Schizosaccharomyces pombe: one gene and its partners. The gene in region 2 interacts genetically with the main gene of each other region. Each region holds a gene or a part of one and is shown on either strand. Other genes may lie near its edges.

The links.
Region 1: mutations in uaf2 (region 2) and sec72 together harm fitness more than expected from each alone (negative genetic interaction), as found in Schizosaccharomyces pombe (one large-scale study listed by BioGRID).
Region 3: mutations in uaf2 (region 2) and SPOM_SPCC622.03C together harm fitness more than expected from each alone (negative genetic interaction), as found in Schizosaccharomyces pombe (one large-scale study listed by BioGRID).

What each region holds. Positions count from the first base shown.
Region 1 is NC_003424.3:4,385,562-4,395,484, reverse strand, and holds sec72 (Sec7 domain-containing protein sec72), read left to right. Parts: upstream 1-2,991; 5' UTR 2,992-3,060; coding exon 3,061-8,529; 3' UTR 8,530-8,643; downstream 8,644-9,923. Other genes in the region: tsn1 (translin), read left to right, coding at 1-69, 118-354, 393-475, 518-686, 744-778; kti12 (elongator complex-associated protein Kti2), read left to right, coding at 1,596-1,767, 1,913-2,586; slr1 (RNA-binding protein), read right to left, coding at 9,399-9,923. UniProt on the Schizosaccharomyces pombe protein: Guanine exchange factor that acts as an activator of arf1 at the trans-Golgi net-work and is thus involved in vesicular budding and traffic between compartments of the Golgi apparatus.
Region 2 is NC_003424.3:5,322,796-5,327,890, forward strand, and holds uaf2 (U2 auxiliary factor small subunit Uaf2), read left to right. Parts: upstream 1-2,798; 5' UTR 2,799-2,815; coding exon 2,816-3,466; 3' UTR 3,467-3,640; downstream 3,641-5,095. Other genes in the region: ski7 (ski complex-interacting GTPase), read left to right, coding at 1-456, 517-1,488, 1,529-1,613, 1,651-2,011; SPOM_SPAP8A3.07C (phospho-2-dehydro-3-deoxyheptonate aldolase), read right to left, coding at 3,925-5,034.
Region 3 is NC_003421.2:1,403,244-1,409,109, forward strand, and holds SPOM_SPCC622.03C (uncharacterized protein), read right to left. Parts: upstream 3,125-5,866; coding exon 2,726-3,124; 3' UTR 2,217-2,725; coding exon of another isoform or gene 1,833-2,216; 3' UTR 1,624-1,832; downstream 1-1,623. Other genes in the region: SPOM_SPCC622.01C (uncharacterized protein), read right to left, coding at 1,063-1,512; SPOM_SPCC622.02 (uncharacterized protein), read left to right, coding at 1,833-2,216; SPOM_SPCC622.04 (uncharacterized protein), read left to right, coding at 3,434-3,856; SPOM_SPCC622.06C (uncharacterized protein), read right to left, coding at 5,573-5,866.

The DNA of each region.
Region 1 (9,923 bases), 940 kb from region 2:
CTGCAGAGGTCGATTTGTTAGACGAAAAGTTAAGAGTTTTGCAACTTCTCTTGGCAAACTGTGAACAAAGTAGAAATGAAAATTTACAAGAAAAAGAACATGGACTAACTTTGGAAGATTTAGAAAATCAGGAAGAAATTTTAGAAGCTCTTGAGATCATTAAAAGCAAAACCAGAGGATTAGCAGAATTGGCATCGAATTTTCCATACTATAAATATAACGGAGTCTGGGATCGATCAATTCAGAAAGTTGTTTATTTATATTTGCTAGCTTCCTGGACCGGTCGTTTAGATAAAAGTTTAAGACCCACGTACAGCCTTCTATCGCTTTCCGAAGTTGGTCAAATTTTGCAAGGTGCGTAAATTATTTTACATTTTTCTCACAATCTTCAGTCCCGGTTTTTCCAGAAGAGTCCACTTTTCATCTTTCAATTGAGCAATATTTGCACGCAGTACTATCTCTGTGTTCTGAACTGGTATATATTCTATTCAACAATCCAAATTGACACAATTTCTAGGCTCGTCAATCTGTAAACTCAGTAATATCTGGAAACTATCATATTCCATTTGAGGCCCTAAATACTATTCAAAAAGTTCATTCTTCTTTTCAAGTACTCTCTTTGAAAAACGACTCCTTAAGAAGACATTTCGATGGATTAAAATATGATTTGAAAAGATCTGAGGACGGTATGAAATTTACGTGGATTTTTTTTTTTTTTGATAGTTTATTTCTGACATATGCAGTTGTTTATGATCTTCGGATACATAAATTGGTTTAAATTGCTAACAATTTATTTGCCAGCTGTACGCTTGACTAAAATTGAGCCGATAAAATTGCTTTTTTAATATTAGGTCTGCTTATTTGCTATGAAACTGGCAGTCCTATGATGAATGCAATTATATTTCTCTTTCTTTAATTTTGTTACACTCTCTGGCAAACTGAATAGTTATTTAAAAAAAAAATATTTCAGCCTAGGTTTCTTTAAGTTCTGATTTTTCTTTACCCAATATTCAAGACGTTTTCCAGGGTACTAAATTAATCATTGGACTGGTATACAACATGTGTTATAAGTTAGTCGCATTTTACCAGATACATGTTAATGGCGGCATAAGTAGATACTTTTCTAACTTTTAATCAACTGCATTTAGCTTATATTTCTTGATGTCCTATGCACCTTTAAAATCTTTCAACAAATGATTACTATTTTTAAATTGAACAACCCTGATTGCGTAGAAGGCGTGCATGTTTTTTTAGCGATTAAAATCCGGGGTCTTACTAGTGTTAATCCTTAATTCTTTTAGAACAATTGATAAGGTAAAGGGAAGCAAGATTAAATTAAAGAGACCGCAAATTGAAATTACTGTGTTTTTAAGCCTAAGCAATACTTACTAGTCGTAAGTAATAAGTCAGTACCGAAATTGAGCGCATTACGAAATACAAATTAAGGATAAAAATTAACTGTTTACTAATGTTTAACGAACTAGTAATTTTCGTTAAATTCATGAAAAAATATATCAAAAAAAAGCTGGAAGTTTTCAAACATATGTTTTACGGCTGATTTTATTCAACCTTCTATTTTGTAGAACATAAAGAAAATGCCATTAATAATTGTTTCAGGTTATCCATCTTCAGGGAAAACAACGAGGTCAAATGAACTTAAAAAGGCTTTAGAAGATCGAATTCATCAAAATATCGACAATACAAAGGATTATCGGGTGATAATAATAAACGATGAGAGTTTAAACATTGAAAAAGAAACATATCGAGGTATGTTTAAATAGTTATCTTTAATGATTTAGTTTTTGGAAATTAGCCAATTCATTTTTGGCTTCAGATTGTGCCCAGCTACTCTAGATGATGGGAGAATCCGTATATGCAATTTTTCGTAATTCTGGTAACTAATTTGTCTTAGAGTCCAAGAACGAAAAGGCCGCTCGTGGCCTTCTCTATTCTGCTGTTCAGCGTGAACTTTCAAAATCTACATTCGTAATTTGCGATGCCTTGAATTACATAAAAGGATTTCGATACCAGTTATATTGTGAATCAAAGTCTATGTACACAACTCATTGTGTGATTCATGTTGCTGTTCCTCAAGATTTATGTCGAAAATTCAATAGTAACAAGGAACAGCCGTATCCTGACGATGTTCTTGAGCAATTAATGTTTCGTTATGAAGAACCGAATGGAATGACACGATGGGATTCCCCTTTATTTACTGTCTTGCACGATGATGCTTCTTGTCCTATCGATGACATCTGGTCAGTTCTTATTCATAACAAAAATGTCAAGCCTAACCAAGCTACAATGGTAAAACCTCCAGCTGAAGTCAACTATTTATATGAATTAGATAAAACTACTCAAGACGTAATCATGCTTATACTGGATAATTCCAACGATACCTCCTTGATTACTGTACCAGGGAGCAAACTTCAAATCGCATTACCCAGTGTTACAGTATCTCTTCCTTTACTTCAAAGATTGCGCCGTCAATTTATCCAAATTAACCGGCAACAATCATATAATACCAATGTTCTCAAGGAAATGTTTGTCGAATTTTTAAATGGTCAATTTGAAACCTTGGACTGATATCCTTTTCTTAAACTTTATGATATTTTTTTTTGGGATTTTTAAGGGGACGAAAAAATGTAGCCTAATATTAATACTTAACTTTGTTTGTTTCTTTTTTTTAGAACATGTTTAAAATGGTAGAAATCGTACATTTTGTTTAATTCCTTAATCCTTTTACAGTTTAAGGAATGCTGTCCTGTAAAAAAGAAATAAGAAAACGTTCACGGTCAATATCGACAATAAAAGTTTCAGTAAAACAACGAATATTGTATAAATCTAGTTATAATGTTTACTATTTAATCCATACTGTAATAAAACAATTTATTATAAGTCTCGCTCGTTTGCTTTATATAAGTAGCACATTGAACCGAGATCTAACGTTCGACACATTAAGGCCGAAAACACTTAGCAAAGACATACTCCGCCTTATATTTCATTGCTAAAAGTTGGCTCGTCTAGACGGCAATTGGCTTGAACGTGACCGATGCCAAAATGCAGGATGCCTCTGAACCTGTGATCAATATGCCTGCTCTGCCTATGAACTCCGTGAATGAGCAACATGACAGACACGAAGATCTTCCAGAAGTTGGAACAACATCAGTTACTAAAATTATTAATGATTCTGACAACGAAGATGATGAAAATGGTATGGATCTCGGTCGTGTTGCTTCTGAAAGTTTAGAAGGCGATGCTGTGGTAAGTATTGATATAAATACAGAAGATTCGTCGTTGTCGCCAGCGAAACAAGAAAACGAAAAGAGTCCCGAAGGAATCGAGCAGAAATATCAAGAAGAAGACTTGAAAGACGACAAAAAATCCAATGAAACTATCGCGACGCCTGTACCTGACGCTGCATCGAGGGCCAGTTTGGAAAAGCAAAAATCAGGTTTAACCAATTTGGAAAAATCCACTCATGTAGTGCTTATAAAGTGCATCGAGCAGCTTATACAAATAAAAGTTTGTATGAAGAACGAGAAGATGAAGAATTTAATGGAGCAACTAAAACCTCTTCTACAAACCGAATGTCAGTTTGACAAATTTTTGATAGTAGAGTTATTTCAGTACTGCTTTGAATCCAGTCAAGATGAAGTTATGAACATTTCTTTAGACACTATTTCTAAACTTGCTTCATTCGCCTATTTTTCTTCAAAAGATAAAACACCTGCCTCATTTGGGCCCCCTAAATCCCTTCTACAGTGTATGGTTGATATGGTATGCGATAGTATCAATGATGAAGTTGTTGATGGAAATCTGCAATTGAATGTTGTAAAAGCTTTATCTGCCTTTATCTTATGTTCTGAGCAGGATAGTATGCTTCATGGAGCGATATTATTGAATTCTGTTCGTAAACTCTTTAATGTCTTTCTTCTCGGGGATAGTGATACTATACAGTCAGTTGCTCAAGCTTCTTTGACTCAGGCTGTCACTGTAGTCTATGAACGATTACGCGCGAGCCACACTCAGTCGAACTCTACATCTGCTTTACCGGAAGAAGATGCATCGGTGACGGAAAATTGGGTTCACGATGAGGATGAGCCTGACAAGAAAATTACTCTTCATTCTATGGCATCTGCTGGCACTTCATCATTAGATCATGTTAAAGTTGACGCAGATGACCCAGCTGTCACCAGTGTTGAGAATTCCTCTATCCAAGACGCGTTTTTAGTGTTCCGATCCATGTGTCGACTTGCTGTCAGACAAACCTCGCCTGATAAAGTCAGTAATATCAGATCTCAAGCTATGCGCGCGAAATTAATTAGTCTCCATCTTATATATCGCATTTTAGAAAAAAATAGTGACTTATTCATGGATCCTACTCTCCAATTTCGTGGTATCCCAGCACTTAAAGGAATGACCCTTGTTCATGCCTCCCGTCAATATATTTGCCTAGTATTATCTCGCAATGCTGTAAGTCCTGTTCCCCAGGTGTTTGAAGTCTGTTGTGACATTTTTTATCTTATGGTTTTTTCTTTGCGTGCCCACTTCAAACAGGAAATTGAAGTGTTTTTTCGAGAAGTTTATTTTCCGATGTTAGACCTCAAGAACACCTCCTACAATCAGAAGCTCCATACCTTGTTAATCATCCAGAGAATCTGTCTTAATCCAAGAGCTCTTGTAGAGTTGTATATAAATTACGATTGTGATCGTTCTTCCACTACCAACGTTTTCGAACAATTGCTGTTTTCAATCTCAAAAGTTACTACCAATGGTCCTTCGGAAACGATATCCGAAGATATTGAAGAAATTCTTCCTTCTTTAGAATCTTCTGAACGGAGTAGTACCCCTTTTCTAAATACGAACTCTGCTTCGTTAAAGTCCGAAGTGGTTCAACTTACCACATTTAGCGATTTTCAATTGAAGCTAAAGACTTTGCAATGCGTCCTTGACATTTTGCAATCTTTATCAAATTGGGCCGAAAGTGGTCTTTATTTATCTCGCCGAGGTGTGTCAACGGATGAGCAAGGTTTTGTTGGAGATTATGATGCGCTTTCCAGGTCTGATACTCCTGTGACGAATCCTTATTATAACGGAAAACAATCGTTTGAAGCAAATTCCCATAGCAGTAGTTCTATCGCACTTGCAGATCCTTCACAATTTGAATCAAACAAACAACGAAAGAAGCTATTACGGACTTGTATAAACAAGTTCAATTACAAACCTACTAGAGGTCTTAAGATGCTTTCAGAAAATGAATATGTTGACATAAATGATCCTAAAGCTATCGCTGAATTTCTGTTTCGTGCTGATGGTATTGACAAAACTACTTTAGGAGATTACTTAGGAGAAGGGGATGAGAAAAGTATTTCCGTGATGCATGAATTTATTGATTGTTTATCTTTTATAAATTTAAAGTTTGTAGACGCTTTACGTCGTCTATTGCAGTGTTTCAGACTACCCGGTGAAGCCCAAAAAATTGATCGAATTATGCTGAAATTTTCCGAAAGGTATATGAAGGAGAATCCGTCTGCATTCGCTAATGCTGATACTGCCTACATTCTTGCTTATTCTATAATATTGCTTAATACTGATTTGCATTCTCCTCGTATTAAAAACAAAATGACAAAAGAAGACTTCATTAAAAATAATCGTGGAATTAATGACGGTGCTGATTTAGATGAAGACTATCTTGGTTTTGTATATGATGACATTCTTAAAAATGAAATTGCTATGAAAGATGATCAAGAACTCGCAGCGATTGCTCCTTTAATGAATAATTTCAGCACATCTAGTGGATTCACCACATTTACTTCTAATGGACGAGATCTGCAAAGAGTAGCTTGTATTCAAGCTTCGGAGGAAATGGCTAATAAGGCTACAAGTGTGCTAAAAAAGCTATTGTATCAACAGAAACATGGATCACAAAAAACAAATGTTTATTACAATGCTACTCATTTTGAACATATAGGTCCCATGCTTGAGGCTACTTGGATGCCTATACTTGCTGCTCTTTCAAACCCTTTACAAAATTCTGATTATGTTAATGAACTTAATATGTGTCTTGATGGATTTCAGCTTGTTGTCCGTATAGCTTGTCTCTTTGACCTTGACCTTATTCGAGACGCTTTTATAAAAACTCTGACTAATTTTACTAATCTGCATTCTACCAGTGAAATCAAATTACGTAATACTATGGTTATAAAAACATTACTGAGAATTGCATCTACCGAAGGTAATAATTTGAAAGATTCTTGGAAAGATATCCTTACTATTATAAGTCAACTAGAACGCGTGCAACTGATTGGTGTTGGTGTCGATGAAACAGAAGTACCTGATGTTATAAATGCACGTGTTCGTCGAAAGAATGTGAACATTGGTTCTTCAAACTCAATTCGGCATGTTAGTGGAAGTACTTCTCGTTCGACTAGAACTCGCTCACTATCTAAACCTTTATCCCCAGAGGCAGTTTCAGAACTAATGTCCACTGAGGTAGTGTTGAGCATTGATAGAATATTTACCCAAACATCTTCTCTTTCTGGCTCTGCGATAGTATCATTCTTTAAAGCATTATGTGAAGTTTCTTGGGATGAAATAACATCTTCTAGTGATTTGGAGCAGCCAAGGCTATATAGTCTACAAAAGCTGGTTGAGATATCCTATTATAACATGCAAAGGATTAGAGTGGAATGGTCATCAATTTGGAACGTTTTGGGTAGATTCTTCAACATGGTGGGTAGTGATGAGAATAGGCATGTTGCTGTTTTTGCATTGGATTCCCTGAGGCAGCTTTCTATGCATTTTCTCGAAATTGAGGAGTTGTCTCTCTTTTCCTTTCAGAAAGAATTCCTTAAGCCATTTGAGTACGTTATGGCTTCCGATACCGTAGTAGAAGTCAAAGAACTTGTTTTACAATGTGTTAAGCAAATGATTCAAGCTAAAATTTCCAAAATAAAATCTGGATGGAAAACTTTGTTTGGCGTTTTTACATTTGCGGCTAAGGCTAGAAGCGAAATATTAATTTCTATGACTTTTGATACCCTTGTCAATCTTTTTTCCGAGCATTATGATACTTTAATGCAGCAAAATTGTTTGATAGATATGTTGATATCCTTCACTGAATTATGCAAAAATGGAACAAACCAGAAAATCTCTTTACAAAGTTTGGAAATTATTAGAGAAGTTTATTCAAGTCTTTCAACTATGATAAAGGAAGGACTTAGTTCCAAGCCTTCAGTAAATGAGACATTTTCTAAATATGTTTTCCCAGTTTTATTTGCATATTATGATATAATAATGTCAGCTGAAGACTTGGAAGTAAGGTCAAGAGCTCTTCAAAACTTATTTTATATATTCTTAGAAGAGTCTGATGATTTCACTGAAGAAACTTGGGAAGTTGTTTCACGAAAATTTATATTCCCGATATTCTCAATATTTGGACCAGAAGCGGATGAAGCGACTGTTATGTTAAGGGATGAGGAGATCAGGACTTGGCAATCTACTACTCTTGTTGAAGCGTTACGAAGTCTCGTCACTTTGTTAACACGCCGTTTTGACAAACTTCACAATTTGCTAAAAGGTTATCTATGGTTATTTAGCAATTGCATTTGTAGAGATAATATTACACTTTCTCGCATAGGAACAAATTGTATGCAGCAGCTACTTTCTGGAAATGCGTATAGGTTTGAAGTTAAAGATTGGAATCTGGTCGCTGATATGTTTATTGAGTTATTCAAGGAAACCACCCCTCATCAGCTTCTTCTTCTAGAAACATTTTCCAATGGGCAAGGAGCCCCTGTTTACTCCGAAAATGAAAATACTCAATTGAGCCATAAGCGAGGCGGTTCTCTACCGGAAACTTCTCGTTCAATTTCGACATCCTCAATTTCCCCTGAGAAACAGATGGAGTTCCGTTCAATGATTCGAAAATGTATTCTTCAACTACTTTTAATAAGTATTGTTGCTGAATTGTTAGATAACGAGGAAGTTTTTAATCATATCCCCCATGAACATGTATTGAAAATAACTGTGGCTATTTACGACTCATGGCAGTTTGCTCGCAAGTTTAATGAAGACAAATCTTTACGTATTACGCTTTTGAACGTTGGATTTATGAAGCAACTCCCTAATTTATTGAGACAAGAAACGGCTAGTGCATTGTTGTACATCACTTTGCTCTTCCGCTTATTAAAAACCAGAGACCCTTTAGGTAAAACAGAAACGGATCAGAAAATTCATAAACTTCTTTTTCCGGTTTGTGCCGAAATGCTGGATATGTATGCTTCCTTGGTTGTTGAGAAACATACGCGTAACCATGCTGCATGGCAGCCTGTCATTGCTACAATCCTGGACAGTATACTGAATCTTCCTTTAGAATTATTTTCCGAAAACATTCACACTCTTTACTTTTCTTGTTGTTCTATGATTGCAAAGGAGAACCTTGATGATCAACTTAGAGAACTACTTAAAAATTACTTTAATCGTGTGGGTCACATTCTATTAAACCTGAATGCCCAACAGGAATAAATAAAGTGATTTTCAATTAATTTCAATAAATTAGCTTCTAGTAAAACAAATAATCCTTTTATAATTTTAGATAACTTATTGGTAAACTTTCTTTTTTATTCTAAAAAATTGCCCTTCTTTTAAATAAGTTTTTTTCAAAACTTGAACAACCTCTTAATATTCTGCATGTAAGCTAATCAGTATTTGTAGTAATCCAACGCCAGAAGGAAGATGCTACTGCCACACACACCAGAGACCTTTTTTTTAACGATCAATTAAAGATTTTTCGTGAAATATCCTCTTCTATTATTCATTTCATGTCCCTGCGGCCTTTAAATATAGAATAGCTTAAAGTAAAGACGAGTACATTATGAGTTGAAGCATCAAGGTACAAATGGTAAATTTACTTTACAGAAAACATATTAAACTCACAAAATTTTGCCATGACAAAATAATAAAGGGAGCCAGTGATTTGGAAGATATAATCAGGAAGCATGAAGTTACAGCGTATCACAGTTGAAAATAATAACAGAAACTATATGCAAATCATAAACAATGATTTTTTTTAAGTAAAAAAAAATTAGAATTTAGCATAAATGACACATCACTTTAGATAATCATTTAATCCAGTAATCCCATTTATCGAAAACGACATATACTCTTATAATAAGTACAATATTTTCTTTTTTTTTTTTTTTTTTTTTTTTTCTTTTAACCGAAAGAAATAAACCCATTACGCTTCAGTAACCAAAACCAAACTATAGAAGTCAAGTTTCAATAAACAATCCTTGCCTTTTAAATAAAAAAAAGTACAGGCGTCAATAAAAGAACAGACCCAGAATGAACGAAAAATATTGATGCCTCGAGAAATAAAAAAAATATCAAAAATTCTAAACAGTAAGTTTATCCTCAACCTCAGTTTGAACATCTCTTTTTATAATTGAATCCACAGAAGAAGGAATGAATGGAGGAGAAATTGTCAAATTTGAAATGGAACTGGCAAGAGGGGACATGCTGGAGCTAGAGTTTATCTGAGGATACTTGGCCATTTCAAACTTCAAGCGTGACTCTGAAGGTAAAATCCAAGGAGACCAAGTTTCCTTTCTTCTAACCTTAATGGACATAGGAGACTGGAGATCAATAGCAACATCAATAATATCTGAAGCCTTGCAAGCTGCATGTAAAAGATTCAAATCTGTAGAAAAGCTCTTAATTCGATTGAAGGAAGCCAAAAATGCTAAAGGAACGTAACCTTCATCGTCCATATGTTTACGAAGAAACATATCTTTGCACAAGTTTTCAATCGAAAAATAATACTCTAGTTGTGAAGTGAGAAATGCTTGGACATCACAAAGGTAAGGATTAACGCCATTACCATTGACGACGACAGGATAGTTTGGAAATGGACCTTGTAT
Region 2 (5,095 bases):
AGCTCGCATTACTCGCCGCTGAACGGAAAAAATTGCATTCTTCTTTTCCATCCACTCAACAGCAGCCGCCTAAAACCGAAAAGGAAAAGGAAAAAGAGCCTATTCAAGCTAAACATAAGAAAAACGTTGAAAATGATTTTTTGTTGCAAAGGTTTCGAAAGGTTCGCATTGCAGAGAAGAAAGACTCTGAACAACCATCGTCTCATGAAATTCATCTTACTGACGATGATGATAAAACCACACTCCAAAAACAAATGGTGGAAAGCGACCAACTGAAGAAGAACCCCCAAGAGGTAAAATTAGCTCCTCCTTCCTCATTTGCGAAATGTCTTACAGGCGCAAAGAAGCGCGTTTTTGAGGACCAAATTGAGATTCATCTAAGCAAAAGTTCACTTTTAGGATTTAACGCCCCTAGCCCTGACGACATAGTTTTGATGGCTCAATCTAAATCTAAAAGTATGCTTTGTCTCCTTCAATTCATCTTTTCCTTTTTTTTTCGCGCTAATTGTTAAACAGGTTTCCAAAAACACAAACGTTTGGACGAGCAATTGCTAAACTCTGTAAAGTCAATGAAGAAAGTTTCTCAACAATTGAAACCTCAAAAAAATACTAATGATTCAAATAATGATCACACCTTACTTTCCCAAGATCAGTTAATTGAACTTTCCAAATTAGTAAAGCCTCGAACGAAACTCTTGTTGTTGGGCCCGCCCAAGTCTGGTAAAAAAACACTCCTTTCTAGATTATTTTTTCAAATTGGATCATTTGATCCCAAAACCATGCAAAAATGTACAGTACTGAATGCCAAAAAAGAAAGTTTGAGCTCAGTGCTAAAGTCCACCAAAACGAAATGGTATGATTTTGAAACATTTTCCAACAGTTACTCCTCAACTATTATTGATTTTCCTTTAGGAATCTTCACTACTAATGCAAGTTCTCGAGATAATTTTCTAAAACATTCAAGTTTGTTTCAAGTAATGAACACAGCCATTTTCACCATTGATTGTCTGAATCCTTTGGAAGGTCTTGATGGAATATCTTCCATTTTACAATTGATGAATGGCTTATCTATTTCAAGCTATATGTTTGCTATCACTAAGATGGATGAAATTGAGTGGGATGAAAATAAATTCATTAATCTTGTTAACTCGATTCAGAGCTTTCTGAAAGAAAGTTGCGGAATAATTGAGAAATCAAAATTCATTCCGATAAGCGGACTAAAAGGAACCAATCTTACATCCATTAGTCAAGAAAAATTATCCCAGTGGTATAAATCTGATACATTGCTTGGCAAAATTGATAAAGAAGCAGATACAAATCATGGCACATGGAATTTTCTTCTTAATCTACCTCTCTCTTTAACAATTTCACACATTACTCCTTTGCCAGAAAATCAATCACATATTTACTGTAGCATCCATTCAGGCATGCTTCAGGATTCGCAAAAGCTTTATGTAGGCACAGGGAGATTAGAAACACAAATCACAGGTACGGAAGGTGTTCAATTATTTTATGTTAATCAAAAAAGGACTGAGCAGTGATGAAAATCCCAAAGGGTTTAATGTTGCTGGGGATATGATTCAAGCCAAAATCCCTACATTACCCAATTTATGGTAAGTTCTTTGCAATTCTTGTATTTCTAATAAATAGTCCTGGGATTTTAATTGCTGATAGTATCGATGCCTTTACTTCTTCGAAAACTGCTTACGTTAATGCAACTTGGTTTCACGGTTCTCTTGAAAAAGGAAAGTCGATGCATGTAATAGCCCTATTCGGCTGTCACGCAGTCCTTACCAAACTGTATTGCTTTACAGACAGTCAAGAAAAAGCTCCTAACGCAATCGGAAACGATCTTGAAAGAAATCGAACCTCACTTGTGAAAATTGAATTAGAGAATGCTTTCCCTCTCGTAAAAGAAAGCTACATTAACACCTTAAGCCGCGTTTTATTCGTTTCAGAAAAATGGAATAGCTTAATTGCGTTTGGAACAGTACTATCTCTGCATGACTGAATCCCTAACTTACGTATTATACTCAACTCCATATTAATTTTGCATTCGAAAAAATTTTCCGTCCTTTTTAAAGAAATTCTCTATAGATTGTTTTAAATATTGTAAAACTACCGATGTTGTTCATTTGCGTACATCTCAGGCATCGTGACATTTGGAAACAATTTGTTCTCGAGTAAATTTCCTGAGCAAAAAAAAGGAATGTGCTGTGTTAAGAATAATTTATCTTTTTTTCTTTTGAATCGTTGGCACATCAGTCTAATAACAGTAACTACTTATTCTTGATATTTTCCAAATTCGAATATAATTAGGGAAATACAAGGGAATATCTGTATATCGGATAGTTGTAAGCTACGCAGTTTGGTATCTGATTTAAGGATACGTAGAACTGTGGTGAGTTTTCCTTGTGATCTATTATATTACAATACACAGGTTATATAAGTAGCAACTGAGTATAGGTATTGTATTAACTGGGTTATAATGTTACCTATCACTAATATAGCTCATAACTGAACTGAGGAACGAGGTTCAGCAGTAGCTCTATTTATAGTATTCAGATAATATAGATCTTAATAGATTATCATTAAGATCAATCTCCATATCGTATCATACATGGTACGATATATAATTAGAACATGTGACATATAGTGATACGCAACGTAGTGTATCATAGCGTAGTGTAGTACTGCTGACAATAGTGTGCAAGAATAATTTAGAAAATTTGCGTAACTTAACGAGATGTTGCACGCCACCATTATAAGACTAGAATCATGTTGGATCACTTTATTTCATAACCACCATATAAAAATGGCAAGTCATTTGGCAAGTATTTATGGTACTGAGCAAGATAAAGTCAATTGCTCATTCTATTATAAAATAGGAGCTTGTAGACATGGGGAACGCTGCTCTCGTAAACATGTCAAACCAAATTTTAGTCAAACGATCTTATGTCCCAACATGTATAAAAACCCAATTCATGAACCAAATGGCAAAAAGTTCACGCAGCGTGAACTTGCAGAACAATTTGATGCATTCTACGAGGACATGTTTTGTGAGTTTTCAAAATACGGTGAAGTTGAACAATTAGTCGTCTGTGACAATGTTGGAGATCACTTAGTCGGAAATGTTTATGTAAGATTCAAGTATGAAGAGTCTGCCCAAAATGCTATTGATGATTTAAATTCCCGATGGTATTCCCAAAGACCAGTCTACGCCGAGTTATCTCCTGTAACTGATTTTCGCGAGGCATGTTGCCGGCAACACGAAACTTCGGAATGTCAGCGGGGTGGCCTTTGTAATTTTATGCATGCCAAAAAACCAAGTCCTCAGCTTTTACGCGATTTGGTACTAGCACAAAGAAAGTATTTGGCCTTAAATGCAGCAGAAGAAATGAAAAAGGAGCCCAATAGTGATTCCACGAATCGATGGGTCAGTGTAACTGCTGAACGCAAAAATTAAATAGCAACTTATGGAATGTATTTGTTTTGGATTCTGGTTTGCTTTTGTACGGTTTTACTTCGTTTATTATGATTAATCTCTGGCTATAGTTTGTTGTGATTTAGGTTATTTAAATAGATGTTGCATTCTTTTATTGTTTACTAATAAACTTGATCTTTGTACAACTGTACTCATAGACGTTTTAAATTTTGTGTCCAATGTGCCTATGGCTGATTACAAGCTAAAGGAGATCGATTAGAAACATATGAAACGATCAAACATTTCGCAAAACTTGCACAGCAATTCTTAAAAACGAAGGTGTTATTGGTAGAAGCTGTGTACGATATAAGAAAAAAAAAACAAAAAAAAATAAATAGAACCCGTATTTAAGCCAAAATTGTTCAGTTGTTGTATGTTACGAAAAAATAAGTTTCAAAAATTAAAAAAATTAAAACTGCTGAATATAACATTTATATGTCTTAATTACTTTTTTGGTTTTGACGGCGAGCACGGACAGCTTCAGCAAGATCGTCTAGCATTGGAGCAGTTTGTTCCCAGCTAACACAAGCATCAGTGATACTGACACCGTACTTGAGAGTATCCTTAACGCCAGGACGGATTGGAGCATCTTGACGACCTTCATTGATATGAGATTCAATCATAACACCAACAATGGAAGAGTCGCCATTTCTGATTTGTTCGGCGATGCTCTTGGAGACCTTTGGTTGGTTCAAATGATTCTTGCTTGAGTTGCCATGAGAGCAATCGATCATGATACGAGGAGGAAGGTTGGCCTTCTCAAGATCTTTGCGAACGGCGGCAACGTGCTCAGCATCATAGTTAGGACCCTTCTTACCACCACGCAAAATGATGAAGGTATCCTTGTTGCCCCTGGTCATGGTAATAGCGGCGAGACCTTGTTTAGTAACTCCTAGCATTGTGTGAGGATGGGCGGTAGCACCAATGGCATCAATCGCCACACCAACAGTACCATCAGTACCATTCTTGAAACCAACAGGGAAGGAAAGGGCAGAAGCCAATTCACGATGTAATTGAGACTCGGTAGTACGAGCACCGATAGCACCAAAACTGAGTAAGTCGGCGAAGAATTGGGGAGAAATGTTGTCCAACATCTCACTGGCCAAAGGAATGCCAAAATTGGTAACGTCGCAATACATTTGACGAGCCATCCTAATACCCTTGTTGATAGCAAAAGAACCATCCAAGTTAGGGTCGTTGACCAAACCCTTCCATCCGATAGTAGTACGGGGCTTCTCCAAATAACAACGCATGACAACGCACAAAGCATCCTGAAGCTCGTCAGCTTTGGGCTTCAGCAACTTAGCATAGTCCATGGCCAATTTAGGGTCATGAATGGAGCAAGGACCGACAACAACGATAATTCTGTCATCTTGTTTGTTGAGAATAGCTTGAATCTCCTTTCTGGAGTCAGTGATGACTTTGCGAGAAGTTTCAGAAACAGGAATCTCTTGTTGAACCAAAGCGGCAGGAACCAAAGGGTTGTAACCTAAGACACGGTTGTCATCAAGATGCTCTTGATCGTAAGTTTCACCGCTGGGTAAAAAAACCTAATTGAATAATGTTAGCAAATTGACATTAAAAAAAAAGACCAAACATGCTGGACATAGC
Region 3 (5,866 bases), on a different chromosome or scaffold from region 2:
TATCCAAGCAAATTCTTGCATCTGGCTGAGTGTAAGAATTCGTAGCAAATGCTATTACTTTTGCTCGGTATAAAACCCTTTTATTACATTATTATTTTTTTTTTGGTATTCCAATATTTTTTTTGCAATACAATTGAATCCACATTTCTCAATTTACTTGTAACCTATTTGAGAGTAATGATAATGTTAAGCAACACAATATTGTTTATTAAAATTAATATTATAGTAATTCATTACCTTAGTAATGGAATTACAGAGACCATTGCACTTTTGCGCATCATTAAAAAAATTTATAAAGGGACGCATGGATAACTATGGGTTTTGCACCCCGTTTCGCTAAGGCAACTCTTAATATAGCCGTTATCTCAGTATTAGAGCGCTCGGTATAAGGTGAGTAAATAAATAAAGGAAGTGAAATGCAATGTTTGCGAGGTGGAAAAACTGAGCTATTATGGAATTCCTATCTTTGCTTAGTTTTATATTAGTCGGAAACAATGGTAAAGCTCTGCAATCGATTTATGCAAGCATGGTGAATGGGCCTTATGCATGTGTGCGATCAATTTTATCAACGCTAAACAAGCAGTAGATGTAGCCTCAATACTATATATAACCCGTACTTGTCTAAGGATATGGATAATTGTATGCAAATATACATGCAAACACGCATCATCAAGGATTGAAGAGGCCAGCTATGTTTGAAAGATCATGATTCATTGAGTTGGAAGTAAACGACAAATAAAAAATCGAAAAAAAGTATAATTGCAAGTACAAAGACAATTTAATATAATAAAACCAAATCTCCTTGATTAAAAAAAAGTGTTTTGGAAGTTAAAGGGAACGCCAATGTAAGTAAATAAATATCGCGGGTAATTTCCTCTTTGTTCTTCGAGACACAATAAATTAAATGAAAATACGAGAATCAAACACAGTAAGACATATCGTTGGCTAATCACATTCCCAATGCTTTCTTATTGCACTGCATTTACGGAATTCTCATTTGAATGGATTGAGTCGGATTGAAAATCAGCGCCACCGTCACACCATTCATATGAACCACTTTTTTTATTTTGATAAAAGGGTGTTCATTTCTTCACTTTCTTCTATTTCTTCGTTTCCTTCGTTCTCCTCTTCGAGCGATGGATAACTGGGAGGAGGTACCTCTTCGGCATAAGGATAATAACCACCGGCATTGAGCGCCATTTCATCTTCTCCCGGTTCCTCAATTTGTCTTTCATCTACAAGTTGAAAACACGGCCACACAAGGAACAGGAACATCACAAGGAATCCAGCCGCCAACACAGTATTCATTCCCAACACCCATCCCGGCACACCAAAACTATAAACGATGGAGCCAACCGCAAACTCCATGAAGCATGGGATTAGCATGTAAAGAGCTCGTTTTGAAAGAATTCCTTGTATATGACAATTCTTTTCAAATGCTTCGAAGTAAGAGTAACGTCGTCGAATTTGCTCGCGAGGGACGGCATGGATGAATACATTATCCACAGTCATCGTAGGAAAAGTGAATTTACAGGAAGGAATTAGGAATAAGTACGTTTCAAAAAGTCAAAGTAAAGTTTTCAGGTATTTTTTATTACAACAACGTCATTCCGATGTGGTTTTCACTATACCCGCTGCTACACTGAGTAAAGAGGGAGGATACTGCGGTTAGCCCAAATGTGGAAAATGTCCTTGAACCCTACCTACCCGAAGCAAGAAATCCGGTGTTGGAAAGCGCTGAAGGAGCGACATTCACAGTTTGATTTTCTTTTCTTTTTTTCTATTCTTGGACATCTGTTTTGATTCTTTTCTTTCTGCTGAACAGTTTCACGATGGCAGCAAATATCTCGAAACTTGAAGCAATTATTGATAATACACCGAATTCTTCCCCAGACCCAGAAGTTTCTCACAAGTTATGGGTGTCCTCTTTAAACAAATTTCAATACACACTTCCTCTTTTGATTAGTAACTTTGCTGGGCTCGGAATTGCGTTCATTTACTGCCTGATCGCTTTCATTCGAGAAATGTCGCATCCTTCATCCAGGAAAGACACAATGGAGCACGGGTTGCCCATAATTTTGTGCTCTACGTTGATGCTTGTTGGAAACATCCTTTACTATTTCTTGTCGAAACATCCGCTTAAAGTCACCGTTCCAGAGGATTTGGTGCAAATTCCTATGCAACAAATGTCCAGTCCCGCTCAAGAAGCACCTTAATTGGCCGTATATTTTGTTTCAATTATGTTTTTGAAGTGCTTGTCTAATATAATAAGGAGAATGCCATAATCGGTGACATTGTGAGCCGAGTTTTTGAGGCAGACATGTAGAATAGATGATAATTTGTATTTTATTAATTAATCTGTGAATGATATATTAAATGAATTGAAGTTCAAAATGAAATATGAAGAGGTGTCGAAAATATAGGAATAGTACAAACCAGTATATCGAACAGTGCTCTAAATTTTGGAAGATGAGTTCGTTCAGGGTCGATGTATTCAACACACTTCCATTTCGCATTACGAGACAAGTTTATGAAACGAATACGTTTTAGATAAAAATAGTATTGAATTATTAAGTTAATTTTTAGATTAGTAGTGACTTAAATGTTGAATAAATATTAAAGGAGTAATAAGATTAAAGGCAGCGGAATGGAAACGAAATATTTTATAACAAAGTGAAACAGGCGTAAAGGAATAGGTGCCCAAAAGCGATATATGAAGGTGTTATTAATACCTCTGATATGGAGAAGAGTTGAATGTATCTTCTCTTGCTTTAAGATTCTCTTGAAAGTCCTCAACTTCACCTCGTCGAATTTCAACTGTCAGTTTACGAGAACCTATAAAGAGCATCGCAAGTACTATGAGTATGAGTAAAGCATTTACGACAGCATCGATCATAGCAATTACTTGAATAGCTGATGGAAAACCTTTAAAGATGAAAGTAAACACAAGAATGAAAAGACGGCAAGACACGATGAAGGAGATAAAAGACATAAACAAAAAGTCATAATTATCAGCTCGTTCCTTACCGGCTTCATACGTTTTCTTTTCAATTAGTTTTTTGTATGTGGCACCTTTAAGTAACGACTGGAGTTCCCATAGTTGAATGGATTTCTTTGGATTCATATTTTTGTGGGAGGCAAAACAGCTAGTTTGAACAAATCCGTTTAAAAACAAGAAAAATTGCGAAAAAATATTAATATGAAATAAAATGCTTAAAAGTCAAAGGATTTCGACAATCGTTGTTAATGAGTAATTGGAGCGCAAGACCAGAGGTTTAACGATTTTGATATTCAACCAATATATTCAATTTCTCTGCCTACACAATCCCGACCTAAATATTCTGTATTATTTGATAAATATTTATTCTTCTTATGCAAAAGCATTTTCATTTTCTGGCCAATATCTGCTAAATTTTGTGTTATATTTATCAACATGACACAACCTGACATTGAAATAGTTATCAAGGAGGATTTTACCTATAGGGAGTGTTCAGATGTTGCGAACGATGTGTTTAAAAAAACTCAATGGCTCTTGTACGTTTTCCTTTTCATAATTTTTGCCAATTGTGTTGTTGATGTTAAGTATTATTTTGAGGGATTTAGTCATTCATTATTATTCGTCTATTTTTTCTTGACTTTAATAATTCTTCTTGTAAGTTTTATGGGATTTCATTATTTGAATAGTATTCCTAAGCCGGAAGCTGAACCTGACTATCGAAAGAAGCAAGAGTCAAAGAATCAGGATTTCCTTAAAAGTCAATCTAATGAACCTTTAGAGTACGCCTCATCCTCTGCAGTTGAACTAGAAAAAGAAAAAAATACGCGAGAGGGCTTAACAATTCTTGAATCTAGTTAATTTTGTATCCATTTGGCATTTGCATCGACCTTGTTTTTGTTTTGTGTTATGTTTATAGGTTTATTATTTATATTCTTCCTTGGTGTGACAATTTTTTTTCTTTAAAACAAAAGAAATTAAAGAATTTGTATTTTATTTATTTTTCCATTTTGAACTACCATATTGAATGTATTCTCAAATTATTAGTATACAGGTGTAATGTCACTCATTTGAATGTAATCAGAAGAAAAGTTATTCTCTTGTTCAAGATCCCTTTGAAACTCCTCAACTTCTCCTCGTCGAATCTCAATTTGAGCTTTCGAGAATTATAGAATAGCAAGCTAACAACTGAGAATGAAATCTACTGTTAAATCTGACACATCTACTTTCACGGTTTTAAGAGACTTAAAGCCATCAGACATAATTGCTATCATAATGAGTAAGCGGAAATCCACGTAGCATAGTCCAGGAAGAAATCCAAACCATAAATAGTTTTCGTGATGTCCCTTTGAAATTTCATCTGATTTTTTCTCAATCAGTTTTTCGTACGCAGTACCTCAATGCAGCGACTGGAATTCGTACAGTTTAATGGATTCACTTGGACTCATCATATATGATACAAGCAAAATAGCCACGTCAACAAAGTTCTTCTAATGTCTGAAAATCAATTCAGTTATCAGATTGAAATATTGCTATCAATTCAAGTCGAATAATAGGAAAATCTTTCTCTGTGGTTGATGATTTAAATATTTAAACCAGACCAGGGGTTTCACAATTTAGTTAAGAGTTACATTTACGGACTTTTCTTTCCACAAACCTCACTTTTTACTGTTTTATTTTTTGAATTTTGCTGGACATTTTTTTAAATAGCTTCCATTTCTTGCTAAACTTGTTTAAGTATTCATTTGTATTCGTTTTAATTGATAGAGGCATTGAACGTTGAGTCGAAATGAAGGAGTTAATCTATAAACCGCGTTCACAATTTTTGCCAATATTTTTACTTGGTCTTTGAACGTTCTATTTTTCTTGTTTCTTGTGACACGTGCCGTTCACATTGCATTTTAACTAAGAAACATGGCCACAGTATGGCCGTTCTAAAGATGATGCTCCTAAGATTGATCAAAAGTAAAGAACATTGTTATACTATGGTTATCTCTTTTGCAGTGTTATCCATCCACTATGCTTGTGAATGCTTTTTGTATCCTAAATTGTTTGATTCTCAGCGCTCTCCTTCACCTTTTTTACGTTGGTTGTTTTCAGTTCTAGGTGTTTTAATGTCTATGGATGTGTTTTGTATTTTATACGCCTATCCAAGTGTTTATTTACACTATGTAAGCGAAGAACCTAAAAAAAAATTAGAGAATCCAGTCTCAGCAATTAAAATCGAAATGAAATTTCATGAAGTCATACTTTCTTCCTATAAATGGATGTAAATAATTTTTCGTAAAGGAAGTATATTCATCGTAAATCTTAATTTTCTATTTCGCTTGTCATTCGATGTCGATTTTGTTTTCCCTACGAGTCAAATGTCAATCTCAACTAGATGGTTTAAGAATTAAACACCCTCTAATTCCTCCCTTCCTTTTCTTGATGTTGAAATTTCTTTCTCATTACTACAATTCATAAACTCCTATCAACTAGAGAGAATTGCGGTTGATAAGTTTTTCAAAGGTTAGCAAAACGGTATATGCATAAAGTCCCATATACAATTCAAATATAAAAAATTAATTGTTCTTTTCATCGTTGATTTCGTTCCAAATTTGCTCGATAGTCTTCCACTTCACCTCGTCGAATCTCAACGTTGAGCTTGCGAGAACTGAAGTAAAGTATGACTATAATACACACTAAAGCTATGCTGTTTATGATAGCATCGGCTACAGCAGGCAGTTCACAGTACGTATTTTTGTTGAAGAGACTTATAAAGAATATGATCATTCGACTTATAACAAAAGAGAAAATAAATAAAGTAATAATAATTGGTAAAATACCATCATTACTCCGATATTTAATAGCTTCATATGTTTTTTTATT